Linked DNA regions of Alligator mississippiensis. The protein of the gene in region 2 purifies or fractionates together with the protein of the main gene of each other region. This does not show direct contact. Links are inferred from orthologs where the notes say so. Each region holds a gene or a part of one and is shown on either strand. Other genes may lie near its edges. The genes, in order: OTUB1 and OTUD6B.

Region 1 (6,625 bases), on a different chromosome or scaffold from region 2:
CGGGGCTACCCTAGGACTCATCTGCCCCTCCCTCTTTTCCAGCCTGAGGCCATGACCCCACCCCCCCTTGGGTAAGAGCTGTGTGAACCCCCCCCTGCACTAACACCCCCTTGCCCCCAGACACCTGGGCTCGCTCCCTGCTCTGGGAAGGAGCCCGGACCCCTGGGGTCTCCTGCTGGGGGGGGGCCCTATGTCTGCACTAACAGGCCTGGCTGCAGCACCCCAGCAGGAGAGGATGAGGCAGGGGCTGCGGGTCAGGAGTGAGGAGCACCGGCAGGGCTGGGTGGGCAGGGGGTTGCAGGTCAGGAGTGACGGGCACTGGCAGGGCGGAGGGGTCTTTGGGTGGCACTGACCTATCTCCCTCTGCCCCCAGGTGACTCCGTGGATGCTGCTGCCCTGGACTGACTCCCCCCCTTCCCCATGTATTTTGGGGACAGGGCATACCCCCCTGGCACTTTGCCCCTCCCCAGTGTTTGGCTAATAAAGGATTTGGTGTCAGTGGCTGCATTGGTGAGGCAGTGGGGTGCCAGAGGTCTGGGTTCCCTCCCAGGCTGTGAGGTGACCACCCCATAATCCCTGCCAAGGCTGTGCTGCGATTAGGGGGCAGCAATGGGGGAAGCAGGGCTGCAGACCCTGGTGGTGTCACTTGGTTTTCATGTCTCGGATGCCACCATGTGCATGGCAGAGAAGACAGAGGGACTGCGGGTTGGGAGTGAGGGGCATTGCCGCCTGCAGGACACCATGGATCCAGGCGTCACACCCAGAACCCGGGTGTCCAGGATGCGTGTACACACACACTTGCACACTTGGGCACACGCCCCCACCCGCACACCCAGAACCCAGGTGCCTGGAACATGGGCGCACACACACTCCCTCAACCCCCCCCCCCCCGGCTTCCACCCCAGAACCCAGGCAGCCGGGACTCCGCCCCCAGGCACTTGGGACACGGACACCCCTGCCCCCCCACACGGCATCTGGAACACGTGTGCACACAACTGAGGCGTTTGGGATGACCCCCCCACCCCCTGCAGGTGTCTGGGACACATGCGTGCACACACACCCAGACACACATGCTGAGCCACTGGTTCCAGCTTCCCCTTTATTGGCCACAGGAGGTGACAAGAGAACCAGATAAGAGGGGGAGGGGGGGCAGCACCAGGGGGGGGCTTCAGCTGTGCCCCTCCCCCCCCCATTGCAGTGGCCAGGGCAGGTCCTTACTTTGGGGGCAGGGACTTGGGGCCCTCTAGCCCCCTCTCCACCTTGTAGAGGAAGTTGCCCTGGTCACAGCTGGGGCAGAGCTGGGGTGTCACTGGGAGTGGGGGGGAGCAGGAGGGGGGAACTCTGCTCCCCCCCCCCGGTCCCAGAGGGGGCGTGCTGGCTGAGGGAGGGGGAGTCAAGGAAGAGACCCTGAGGGGGGTACAGTTGAGGGGTCCTTTCCTGCCCTCCCTCCCGCCTGGTAGGAGCTGGTGGAGGGGCCTCCATGCCTGGCCAAGGGTGCCGCAGTCGTAGGGGGCCTGGGCAAAGGGTGTCATAGGCTAATGGGGGGGAGCGGGGGGAAGGGCCCAAGGGGGAGCTTGGGGGGGATATAGTTTCCCCAGCACCAGCACAGACACGTGTGGGGGGGTACATTGGGGCAGGTGCAGGGAACAGGTGGCAGGGGACCAGGGCAGTTGATGGGGCTGGAGGGAGGGGCTGGGGCAGCTGGGGGTCCGTGGTCACCTCTGTCTGTGGCAGGGGCAGTTCCTGGGGCAGTGGAGCAGGCAGAGATGGGGTCGGGGAGAGGAGGCTGCAGCAGGCGGGGCGGTGGAGCAGGCAGAGGGGGAGGTCGGGGGTTGGAGGTCAGGGGTAGAGGATGTCGTAGTGGCCGGGACGGTAGAGCAGGCAGACGCGGGGCGCAGCGCCCTCGGGGAAGACGTGGGGGTTGGTGGCGCCGCGGCCTCGGTCCATGTACTCGACGCGCACGGGCGCCTGCAGGGCCTGTGCCAGCGCGATGATGTGGATGTGGTCGCTCTCCTTGCTCATGGGCTCCACCTCCTGCAGCGGCGGCATGGAGCGGGGTGGGTGTCAGAGACGCGGGAGCGCCCCCACCCTGCCCCTCGCCATGCCTTTGACAAGCTCCACCCCCACTGACTTGGACCCGCCCTGCTCACTCATGCCCCCAAGAAGTCCCAGGGCAGGCCCCACCCATCCTGATGAAGCCTGCCCCCTCCCCCACCAGAGCAGATTACTCCTCTAGGCCCCGCCCCCTGCCACCCTCCCAGGCCTCGCCCCTTCCCAGCACACACAGCCCTTGCCCATCACACCAGCTCTGGCTCCTGCCCAGGCCCCAGCCCCAGAGAACAGCCCTCCTCTGGCCCTGCTTCATAGGTGACCCCATGCACCACCCCTCGGCAGGCTCCTGGCCCAGACTCTGCCCACCTGCTGGCAGAACTCCTTGACGCCGCGCCCGCCCTCGATGAAGTGCTGGAAGAAGGCGGCGTGGCGCTGCAGGTGCCCGGACGTTAGCAGCCGCAGGTAGACCACCAGGTAGTCGGACGTGCTCTGCTCGTTGAAGGCGGCCAGGAGCTCGCCGGGCGCCACGCCCCGCTCCACCTGCTCAATCAGCTCCATGAACTGCGGGGGGAAGATGGAAACTGAGGCAGGGCGGGGACGGAGGCCTAGGTGCGAAACCCCGCCTCCAGCATGAGCTCCGCCCATGCTGGGGGGGGGGCAGTGCCCTTACCGTGTTATGGAAGTCCTCGATCGTGAACTCGGTGAAGCCCTGAGACACCAGCTCCTCCTTACTCTTGGCCGAGATCTCCTTGAACCTGGGAGAGGGAGGGCGGGGTCACAGGGGGCGGGGCCAGAGTCTGCCCCCCCAGAACCCAGGGTCCAGGCCTCACCGCTGCAGCTCGGTGCGGTCGCCCAGTAGCGCCTCAAGGTGGGCGAAGCCGAAGGCGCGGTAGAAGCAGTTCCCGTCCGGCCGCGTCTTGCGGATGTACGAGTACTTCTGCAGCAGGTCCTGAGAGTGGGGCTCTGTCAGGCCACGCCCTTGGGGTGGAGCCTGGACAGGAGCTGAGGGGGGGAGGGGTGGGGCGCAACCACCCAGGGGTTTGGGGGCAGGGTCCAGGTCTGGCCTGGGGGCGGGGCTTGGGGGCAGAGGGCAGGGCCTGACCTGGGGCAGGGTTGTGGGGAGCAGGACAGTCAAGGTCTGACTTAGGGGGTGGGGCTTAGCTGGTGGGCTGTCAGGCCTCTGTGGACAGGGGGTGGAGTCTCAATTTGTGGGGGGTGGAGCCTAGTGCTAGGGGGGCTGGGGCTGGTTTAGGGGGCGGGGTTTAGTTCACCTGGCCTGGGGGTGGAGCTCAGGTGCAGGGGGCGGAGCCAGGGCCTGGCTGGGCGGGGCGCAGGAAGGGAGGAGTCGGGTAGAAAGGGCATCTGCCCCCTGCTGGGAGGAGCTCCTGGCTCCAGGGGCAGGAGCGAGAGGGGGGCGGGGCGGAGGAGCAGGCCGGGGGGGCACCTTGATCTTGTGCTGGTAGACGAGGTCGTCGGGCGCGTACTCCTTGTAGAGCACGGCCAGCTCGAGGCGCTCGGACACCAGCGGGTTCTGCACGGCGATCTGGGGGGGGAGGGGGGCGGGTTGGGGCCGCGCGTCCAGGCACCGAGCCCCGCCCCCCCGGCAGGGGGAGGGGGAGGGGTCCCCGCCCCAGGCCCCCCCGCACCTCCTGCTGGATGCGGTCCTGCTGCGCCATGATGGCCTCGTCGTAGGCCAGACAGTTCACGCCTGCGGGACAAGGCGCGTGAGGGGGGAGGGGCGCCGGCCCCCCCCGCCCAGGTTCCCCAGGCCGGCCCGGGGGGGGGCGGGGCCCGGCTGTCCCCCCCCGGGTCAGAGGTCAGGGGTCAGAGGGCGCCCCGGGGCGGGGGAGACCCAGGTGTTGGGGCGGGGTCCCGCGGGGTCACGTGCTCCCCCCCCTCCGGTACCGTCCGCGTCCCCCCCCAGCGGCTCCGGCTGCTGCTGAGGCTCCGCCGCCATCTCGGCCCCGCCGCGCCGAGCGCTTCCGGGTCACGGCCCGCCCCGCCGGAAGTGCCGCCCTGGCAACGGGCCCCGCCCTCACCCCGCGACGTCACCGCCCCACGAGGTTGGTGTAGACATGAGGTCATCCGGCATCACAGCTAACGGGGGCGGGGACCGCATTGGTGTCACTTCATCGGTGACGTCAGAGCGGCCGGTGGCGGGATGCCCTGCCATTACATCACCCGGCAGTGACGTGACAGCACCCGTGTCAGAGCAGCCGCCTTGCTTGGAATGGGGGCGTTTCCGTGACATCATCATGTGACATCACCATCTCCTCCCCATGCCCCCATGTCCTGCGGTGGGGGGGGGGGCAGGGACCAGGAGCGCAGCTGGGGAAACTGAGGCTGGAGATGACATCACAGGCGATCCGCCCCCCGAGGGGCACTGCCGCGGGCCGCCGTGTCCCCCGCTCCGGGCGCCGGAGCCGAGGGCGGGGGCGCACGGGCCCCTCCAGGCCGCAGGCGCTCCGGCGGGGTCGCAGCTGCAGGCGGGAGCAGGGCTGGGGCCGGGCCCTGGCGGGAGAAGGGGGCGTTGGGGGGTCTCCCCCAAGCCGGTGACCCTCGCTGACCCAGCAGAGCTTCGCAAGGGGCGGCCAGGCCCAGCGCCCCCCGCTGCCCCCCATGCCAGCGCCCCCGGGGCCGGGCTCTGCCACTGGGAGGGCCTGGGGAAGGCCAAGGGTCCTGCCCTCTCCTGGGGCATCTGCAGAGAATCCCCTCAACTCTGCCCCGCGTCAGATCCCCCACATCTGCCCCCCCACAGCCCCGAAGCCCCCCGGCTAACCCCCCATTGCAATTCACACTGCCCGCCCCAGCTCCCATGGTGCCCTGGGAGCCCCCCCCCCCCCATTACCTCTGCAGGGGGCTCCAGCTCCTTCATGTCCGGGAGGCTGGTCCAGGCCGCGGGGAGCAGCAGGGATCTGGCCACGGTCCCCCTCGGGGGCTCATGCTCCAGGGACCAGGGCCTGGGGCTGGGAGGGGGGGCAGAGCATGGACCCCAGGGGGCTCCTGCAAAACCCTGCTCCCCCCACGCTCGCCGGTGCCCCTCACTCCCGACCCGCAGTCCCCGGCCCCCTGTAGCACAGCCCCAAGCCACAGAGGAGCCCGATGCGCCGGGCGGGCCGAGCTGCACTCACCTCTGGGCCTTGCGGCCCTCGCCAGGCAGGCGGTGGGAGCAGGTGCGAGGGGGCACGGCGCGGCCCTGGTAGCAGCCCAGGGGGGTGCGGCGAGGCACCAGGCTGAAGCCAAGCTGGAGCCTCTCAGCGATGCTCCGCTTCTCCCACTGGCTGCGCAGGGGAGGGGGCCGCGGCCGCCTGGGGCCCAGTGGGGATGAGGGGGCAGCCGGGGGGGCCGTCGGGGCCGGCAGGTGCTGGAAGTGGCTGGAGACATAGATGGGCAGGTGGGACGTGTCACGCTGGGCCTGAGAGTGGAGGTGGGGGGGAGGTCTCAGAGCCCTGCCAATGCCCCTTGCCCCCTGCTCGATGGGTGCCCCTTGCTCCCGACCCGCAGCCCCTTGCCCCACTGCTCGATGGGTGCCCCTTGCTCCAGACCTGCAGCCCCTTGCCCCCTGCTCGATGGGTGCCCCTTGCTCCAGACCCGCAGCCCCTTGCCCCCTGCTCGATGGGTGCCCCTTGCTCCAGACCCGCAGCCCCTTGCCCCACTGCTCGATGGGTGCCCCTTGCTCCAGACCTGCAGCCCCTTGCCCCACTGCTCGATCGATGCCCCTTGCTCCAGACCCGCAGCCCCTTGCCCCCTGCTCGATGGGTGCCCCTTGCTCCAGACCTGCAGCCCCTTGCCCCACTGCTCGATGGGTGCCCCTCGCTCCAGACCCGCAGCCCCTTGCCCCCTGCTCGATCGATGCCCCTCGCTCCAGACCCGCAGCCCCTTGCCCCACTGCTTGATCGATGCCCCTTGCTCCAGACCCGCAGCCCCTTGCCCCCTGCTCGATGGGTGCCCCTTGCTCCAGACCCGCAGCCCCTTGCCCCCCAACTTGATTGGTGCCCCTCGCTCCCGACCCGCAGCCCCTCTCCCACTTACCATGGTCCTTGCTGGCTCCCAGCCCCCTGCCTGGACTCAGCCCCACTGACACCTACTGGTTGGTTGGGGGAGGGGGGAAATGGGCACATTACCCCCTGCAGCACCCCCTGGGGGCAGCATCCCCAGCCCATGGGGTGGGGGGCAAGAGGGGCCCAGCTGGGGGCACTGCGATCCCCCCAGCCTAGAGCCCAGAGCACGGGGGATGTGGGATACCCTCTCTACCCAGACCCCTCCTCCCCCTGCCCAGGAGGCCTGTAGCTATCCCACAATGCCCAGCAGCAAGCCCCATTCCAATCATGCAAAGGATTATGGGATACCAGCCCGCAATGCTCTCCCCTCTTAGCCCCAGAGATGGGTGGACAGCACGGGGCATTAACAGCCTCTTCCAGGGCACATTAAATACCCCCACAGGGTCAGACAAGGAAGCTGCTGCTCACCCACCCCTGAGCCCCATCACTGCGGGCCCAGAGCTGTCCCAGGTATTTATCCAGCCCCCTCAACCAATCTGCGGCCAGCCTGCAGCCTCCAGCCAATAGGAGGC
Region 2 (6,625 bases):
ATTTTATTTCCAAAAATATTTTTTTTATCAGGATTTGTTTTTCTGAGTAGCAAATGTGACTGCATAATAGCTCAAAATAAAGTCTTACTCTTTTGTATTGTGAAGTTGGGTATGAGGGTTGAAGGTGTGTATGGGAGGAGTGTAGGAGAGGGTGGACATGTGGTGTTTGTCGGCAGGGGGGCGGTCCATGCATGTGTGTAGGGGGATGGGTACACACGCGTATTGGGGGTGCCCACACGCTAGGTCCCAGGAGCTGGCTAGACAGCACTGCCTCAGCCCTGGCATAAAGCTTCCTGGTGGGGCTGTTGCTGGAGCCACCCAGGTACTGCTCAGCTCCTCCTGCCTCCAGCAGCTCCTTCTCCTGCCCCTGTTGTGCTGCTCCAGGCAGAAGGTGCCTGTCCAGACAAGGGGGAAGCTGCAGCCAGGCAGCTCCTAATCCAGCATGCAGGGCTCCTGCTCCTAGCCACTTTCCACCCATTCTGCCCACCTGGTGCAACAAGCAGCCACTTGTGAGAGGCTGAGTGGGTAGAAGATGGCTGGGAGCTGGAGCTTGAGCTGGAGCCCCTGTGCACTGGCCCAGGATCCACCCACCTGCAGCTCCCCACCACCTGGATGGGTTCATGGCGTCCGCACATGTCCCCGTGGCCACCGTCACTTCCTCAAGCTAGTTGCTGCCTGGAGCAGTTCAGCAGGGACAGGAGGAAGAAAAGGAAATACTGATGGCAGGGGGAGCTGAGCAGTACCTAGGCAATTGTAGGTGCACTGGGGTTGGCCCCACTGGGAAGCCATGCACACTGGCCAGGGATGTCAGCAGGCACAGGCAGGAGTGCAACACAGGCTTCCCTGGGCAGGAGCGGGCAGGGCTCAGCCCCTTATGGAGAACCAGTGGCAGCCATGGGGTAGAAATCAATTGGTGGATGCCCGTCCACAGGCCAGATCCTATCAGTTGGTGGGCCTGATCCAGCCTGCGGACTGTATTTTGCACACCTCTGCTATAGAGGATTTTTTTCCTTGAAGAGTACCGACCTGTCCATTTGCCGTTAGTGCGCACACACTCTTTGGGTTGTGTGAATCCCAGTTGCACAGTCTCAGGGGAAATCAAGAATAGTTTCAAGCAAAGTATTTTAGAACCCTACATTACTGCAAACCTACCTTTTAACTTGACAAACTTAAATGATATTAAAGATGAAGTACTAGATGTTTCTGACTGGGCATTAGAACTTTTTCTGAAGTCCCTTTACATTAGATTATTACATTATATTATTTTTTTTAACTAACAACATGGAGATAAGCAGAAACACTCCTGTTAAGGCCACATTACAGCTGAGAAGTTCTGGGGGGAAACAGAAAATAAGAACACTTCAGGGTCACAGCCCCACAGTGACAACATGGGAGTGGGAAAGGTGAGAGACCAAAGTTTGTGGCACATCAACTGAATCTGAGAGGCAGAAGGCACGGGAGATACTACTTTATAGGCACCTTACAGAAAGGCAGTCAGCAGGGTTAGTCTGAAGTAGAGCAGAAGGCAGGGCATAGCTGCACACTTAGTGCCCCTCTACATGTGCAAATTAGGGGCACACGATAAAGATTTTTTTGGCCAATACCAATGGCCAATTATTAACCAGCCATATTAGTCAATACTGATCTGATTGCCAATATGCAGCCCGGCAACTTAGAGAGCAGCATCCGGAAGGTAGGCCTGTAGGGGGGAAGGGGCATAGAGGAGAGAAGGGGCATAGGAGGAGTGGATTGAGGCCCCCATGGTGAGGGAAGGAGTGGGGCAGGGGCAGAGGCAGGCACTGCCCAGCCGAGGCGGGGTGGGGGATAGAGCCGCAGGCAGCTTGTACAAGGGGTGGAAGTGGCAGCTCCCACCACTGTGCGCATCCCTCGCAGAAGCATAGGGGGAATATGCCGACCGTATTTGTGTATGGAGTGAGGGCAGGCCGCCCACTGTGGGCTCAGGGTCAGAGGCTGGGCTGGGGCTGCACTGGGGGTGGGCAGTGGTAGCACTGGGAGGGGGGACTACAGCCACCCCAAAATACCCCATAGCCCCCCCTCCCAATGCTGCCACCACTCATCCCACCTCCACCCACCCCGAGTGCAACCCCAGCCCTCCCACCGGGAAGAGTTCGGCTCAGCCTCCAGCCCCAAACTTGCAGCAGGCAGCATGCCCTTGTCCCATGCACAAATCTGGGGGGCACATGGCTCCCATGCCTCCCGTGGGACACATGCAGCGTCGAAAGCTGCCCTCCCCACCCCCTGGGTGAGCCACCTGCAGCTCCATCCCATGCCCTGTCCCACCTGCCCCAGCTCCACTCCTTCCCTCGCTGTGGGGGCCTCAATCTGCCTCCACTATGTCCCTTTCCCCACAAACTTATCAGATAGATGCTGCTCTCCAAATTGCTGGGCTGCATTCCTGCCCACATGCATGCTGCAGCTGTGCACGTGCACACAACATTTATCGGTGACATTATCAACCTCTTTGGCCAAAAAAAGCTGACTGCCAATAATGTCAATTTCCTTTTATCAGTGCTGATACGATATGGACAAATGTATCGGTGCACCTCTAGTGCAGATAAAGGCACAATGGAATCTAATGCGCGATCTGCACAATCATGCCTCCTGCCATGCCACATGTGCATGGCAAAAGATACTATTTTAGGATCATGCATTAGAGCTTATCACACCTTACTGCCAGTAGAGGGAGATCATGATCCCCTGCACTGGCTCTCATGGCTGTGAGCCCCCCAGGATTCTTCCCACTGCCCCCGCTATGAGACCTACAGCCAACAAGGCTGTCCCTACTGCAAGGCCCACAGCTGTTGAGACTCACAGCAGGGTCAGCAATGGGAATGCCATCACCATGGCAAGACTCGTCAGCTGTGGAGCTGGCAGCAAGTGGTGCAGCCCTGTGGCTCAGAGTCCCTCAGGTGCCAGGGCTCCCAGCCACAAGGAAGCACTTGGCCACACATTCAATTAGTGGCATAATTAGGACAAGCTACAAAGCTATCACACATTTTTTAACACCATCTAACGGATAAACTCGTAGCTGGATCACAACTTAAGGTGTGATTACCTGGTTACTCCTCGGCCCCTACTACATGTTACATATATTATCAGTCACGCAATAAAGGTAAAGCAGAAGCATCCAAGAAATTCCCAGACCATACAGGTGACTGGGCAGCTATAAAAAGAGCCAGCCAGCTACACCATTAGTGTTTGAAAACCCAACCATGCTCTGGCCGGTTTCTAGCCAGCTTCCATTTGGGGCTGTAGCAGGGCCCTAAGGCTAAAAGCAGATGAGGCTTCCAGGCCTCCTAGGCAGCAAAGCCCAGACTCCACACAGGGCCGGGTCCATTGATCCCACGCGAGGAACCTGCCAAGGGCCCGAATTAGCACTTGGCCTGGGGACAATGGGCTGATTCCAGTGAATTAATCGAGCCCCAGACTCCCCCGTCCCGGACTAAGCCCTTGGGCCACAGGTGCGCCCGTGCTCCAGCCGCCCGCCCGCAGGGGAGATCCGAGCCCGCCAGCAGACCGATGCCGAGGGTCATTATGACGCGCTGACGGCGATTGTGACGAAGATGATGACGGCGCTTTTGGAACGCGGAGTCCTGGAATCCCCCCGCCCGGGCCCAGCGGCCCCCAGGCGGGAAGCGCGCGCGGAGCGGAGCGCAGTGCAAGGGGCTACCGCTGCCGCCGCAGCTACCCCCGGCCGGCTCAGCTCACCCTGCAGCTCCCGCTTCTCCCTGCGCTGCCGCCTGGCCAGCAGCTGCACCGTGCCCTCCGCCGGCTCGTCCTCCCCGGAGCCGTCCATGGGGCTGCCGGCAGCTTCCGGGAGGCCGCACACAGCCCCGCCTCTGCCGCAGCCGGGTCCAGGCGCTCGCGAAGGGGCGGTGGCGCTCCACTGCCGGCCGCTTCCTCCCGCCTGGTCCCGAGCCGCGCAGCTGAGGCGGGTCCCTGTGGCCGGCGCGGGGAGGTACCGCGCCTGCTCCCTGCCGAGCCCTCGCTTCCCCTGCTGCTCCGTAGGGGTGGGGACACTCCCACGCCGCTTCCCAGCTTTGTGAGGGACAGGCCGAGCACCTAGGACACGCGTCTGTCCTGTCCCTGGGGCAATAAGTGTTGCTCCAGAACATTTCCGTCCCCCCGGAAATACAGCGAGGCGGGGGGATTCATATATAGCTATGTACGTGTATATATACACACACGTGCATACGATTTGCCCCTTTGCTTTTTCCAGCTCTCCCCGCTACCTTGTCCCTCACATGTGCGCGCGCCACACACACACACACTTAATTACTGAGGCCTCTGCGGTGAAGGAGGAATTAGGGTAGGGGTAGGGGCGAGTGGGGCCCTGGCTGGGCCAGGCCAGGGGAGGGTCAGTGCCCAGGTGCCTTGTTCAGGCACGTGGGGGGCTCCTGCTGCTGCACACACCCCAGCAGAGGCACGGGGGCACATGGCGAGGCGGCTATTGCTGTTCGCTGGGCTTTGCGTGGGTAGTAGAGGGTGCAGAAAGGGACTGTCCCACTCACCCGGCCCAGCCCCGGCAGCAGGGGGCGGAGCTCAGCCTAGCCCTGTGCGTCCTGTCACTCATACATTCTGCTGTTCCGCTACTGTGTCCCAGTGACTCCCCACATGTGTCCTGAATGTGGAGCCTGTGACGGTTGATCTAACTAAGATCAACTGTCAAGGGCTCCCCAATCGACCAGGATAGACCAGTTGGTGACCACTGAAATAGGCTAATGTGTACATCACAGTGATGAGGACACTAGAAGAATATGTAGACACATGTAAGAAGCCCCATGGCTATTAGAACACACTATTAAAACAATTAGGATTTGATAATTGTATTTTCATGTTCCTTTATGGAAGCAAGTGTGTGCGCATGTGTGGGCCTCGGTGTACACACGTATATCTATATCTATCTATCTAGAGATAGACAGATATTGTGTATGTGCCTATCTATCTACAGCAGCAAGCTTTTGTATATATGTTTGTATGTTACATAGATTTATACAAATACATATATGCACACACACATCTATATATATCTATATAGTTTTTTTAAACCACTCTTAAAACACATTTTTTAAAACGTTCTTCAATGTAAAAGATCATTAAATACTATTATTCTTCTGCACTATTGTGTATTTTATGATCTTTTCTAGATCTTGCAGTGTTTCAGCTAACACAATAAATTTCGTTTTATATGCAGACAAGGTTTTTGAGTAGATGTGATATCTTTTATTAGACCAACTGAGTAGTTGGAAAGTTCTTAGCAAGCTTTCGGGTGCAAACACCCTTCTTCAGGCATAGGGAGTCTCTATATCCTTGTAATTACCGGTTGAGACATACAACTTGATCCCGGATCTCTTATACAGGCCAAATTCTCACTGATATCAGTTGGAATTTTGCCAGTTTAAAACTACAAGATTTGACCCAGCCCAAAATATCTGCACCAAAGACAAAAAAAAGTTTGTGTGCCCTACCACTTGCACACAAGAGACTGTCAAATGCAGCAGACTGTGTTCTTTGAACACTAAGCAAGGGGCTTCTGACCACTATTGATACTTCCAAGGCACATCCATGGCTCCACACTACTGTACTCCACTTAACCCTGTGCAACAGCAAGCTACAGCAAGGTCACACTGGAAAGAGCATACCTAAAGATAAAAGATGAGAGTGTCACCCGACCAGGAGGAGGCTGGGCTTGAGCTGGTCAGTCAGTCCATGGGGAGAGGAGCTCCTGGTAGCAGGGCTCCTGAGAGAATTGCTGAGCTGGGGGAAGCAGCATTGAGCATGGGAACAAGGCCAGGGCCCAGAAACAGGCCAGGCCTTGGAATATATAGGCCTGGGAAGAGGAGTGGTGAACCCGTAGCCTAGAGAGGGGCAGCAGAGATGAGGGGCCAGGAGGAATAGAGAGCCTGGGACCCAGAGACAGGTACTCAGGAGAAGGTCTGATGCAGGGGGGTGGGGGGGAGACCAGGAGGGTGTTACCTGTCAGCTCTGTGTTCCTGGGGAACCCTGGTGCAGTACCCAGCCTGTGTGACTCATGAAGGATTCCCCCTACCCCCACCTGAACCAGAAGTGATCAGAAGAAGGACTTACAAAAGGCAATGAAGATGCAGTGAGAGACGCACCTAAAACTCTCCGGACAAGGGTGACAGGATTAAGGTAACTCCCCTAGTCCCATTTGCATCAGAGATGAGAAAGGGAGGCACCTCCATTAGCATTCAGAGTGGAGAACAGAAATTCCAAGGCAGGGACTGCACTGAACTCTAGGACCAGAGAAGCTGGGGAGCACTGCATGATGGAGGATCCCTGCTCCAAATCATTTACCCATAAACTAACCTAGTGTTCTCCCTTGAACCATTGTTATTTCCCTACAAAAACCCCTACCCAAGCTCAAGTTTCTGTTCTGGTACTTGGATCCAAACACTGCACCAATTTCGCTGGGACTTCACCTTTTCCTTTCTTGCCTGGAATATCTTCACTGATTGTGCTGGGGGCTCTGCCTGTCTCCAACCCCCTGGACCTGAATCTAAACAAATTGTCTGCAAGCTCCCCAAACACCTGGGAACCTCAACCAGTTAAAGCTTCACTGAGTGGTGAGAGCCTCTGCCTC

The links.
Region 1: the proteins of OTUD6B (region 2) and OTUB1 fractionate together in Homo sapiens (co-fractionation; 4 studies listed by BioGRID and IntAct, with this or other methods). This does not show direct contact. The link is inferred for Alligator mississippiensis from reciprocal best matches to the Homo sapiens genes OTUD6B and OTUB1.

Annotation. Positions count from the first base shown.
Region 1 is NC_081838.1:4,618,935-4,625,559, forward strand, and holds OTUB1 (ubiquitin thioesterase OTUB1), read right to left. Parts: upstream 4,063-6,625; 5' UTR 4,010-4,062; coding exon 3,958-4,009; intron 3,761-3,957; coding exon 3,699-3,760; intron 3,596-3,698; coding exon 3,497-3,595; intron 3,002-3,496; coding exon 2,883-3,001; intron 2,808-2,882; coding exon 2,723-2,807; intron 2,614-2,722; coding exon 2,419-2,613; intron 2,035-2,418; coding exon 1,840-2,034; 3' UTR 1,086-1,839; downstream 1-1,085. Other genes in the region: ADP-ribose glycohydrolase MACROD1, read left to right, coding at 374-405. UniProt on the Homo sapiens protein: Hydrolase that can specifically remove 'Lys-48'-linked conjugated ubiquitin from proteins and plays an important regulatory role at the level of protein turnover by preventing degradation.
Region 2 is NC_081826.1:45,999,071-46,005,695, forward strand, and holds the start of OTUD6B (deubiquitinase OTUD6B), read right to left. Parts: upstream 3,966-6,625; 5' UTR 3,818-3,965; coding exon 3,730-3,817; intron 1-3,729.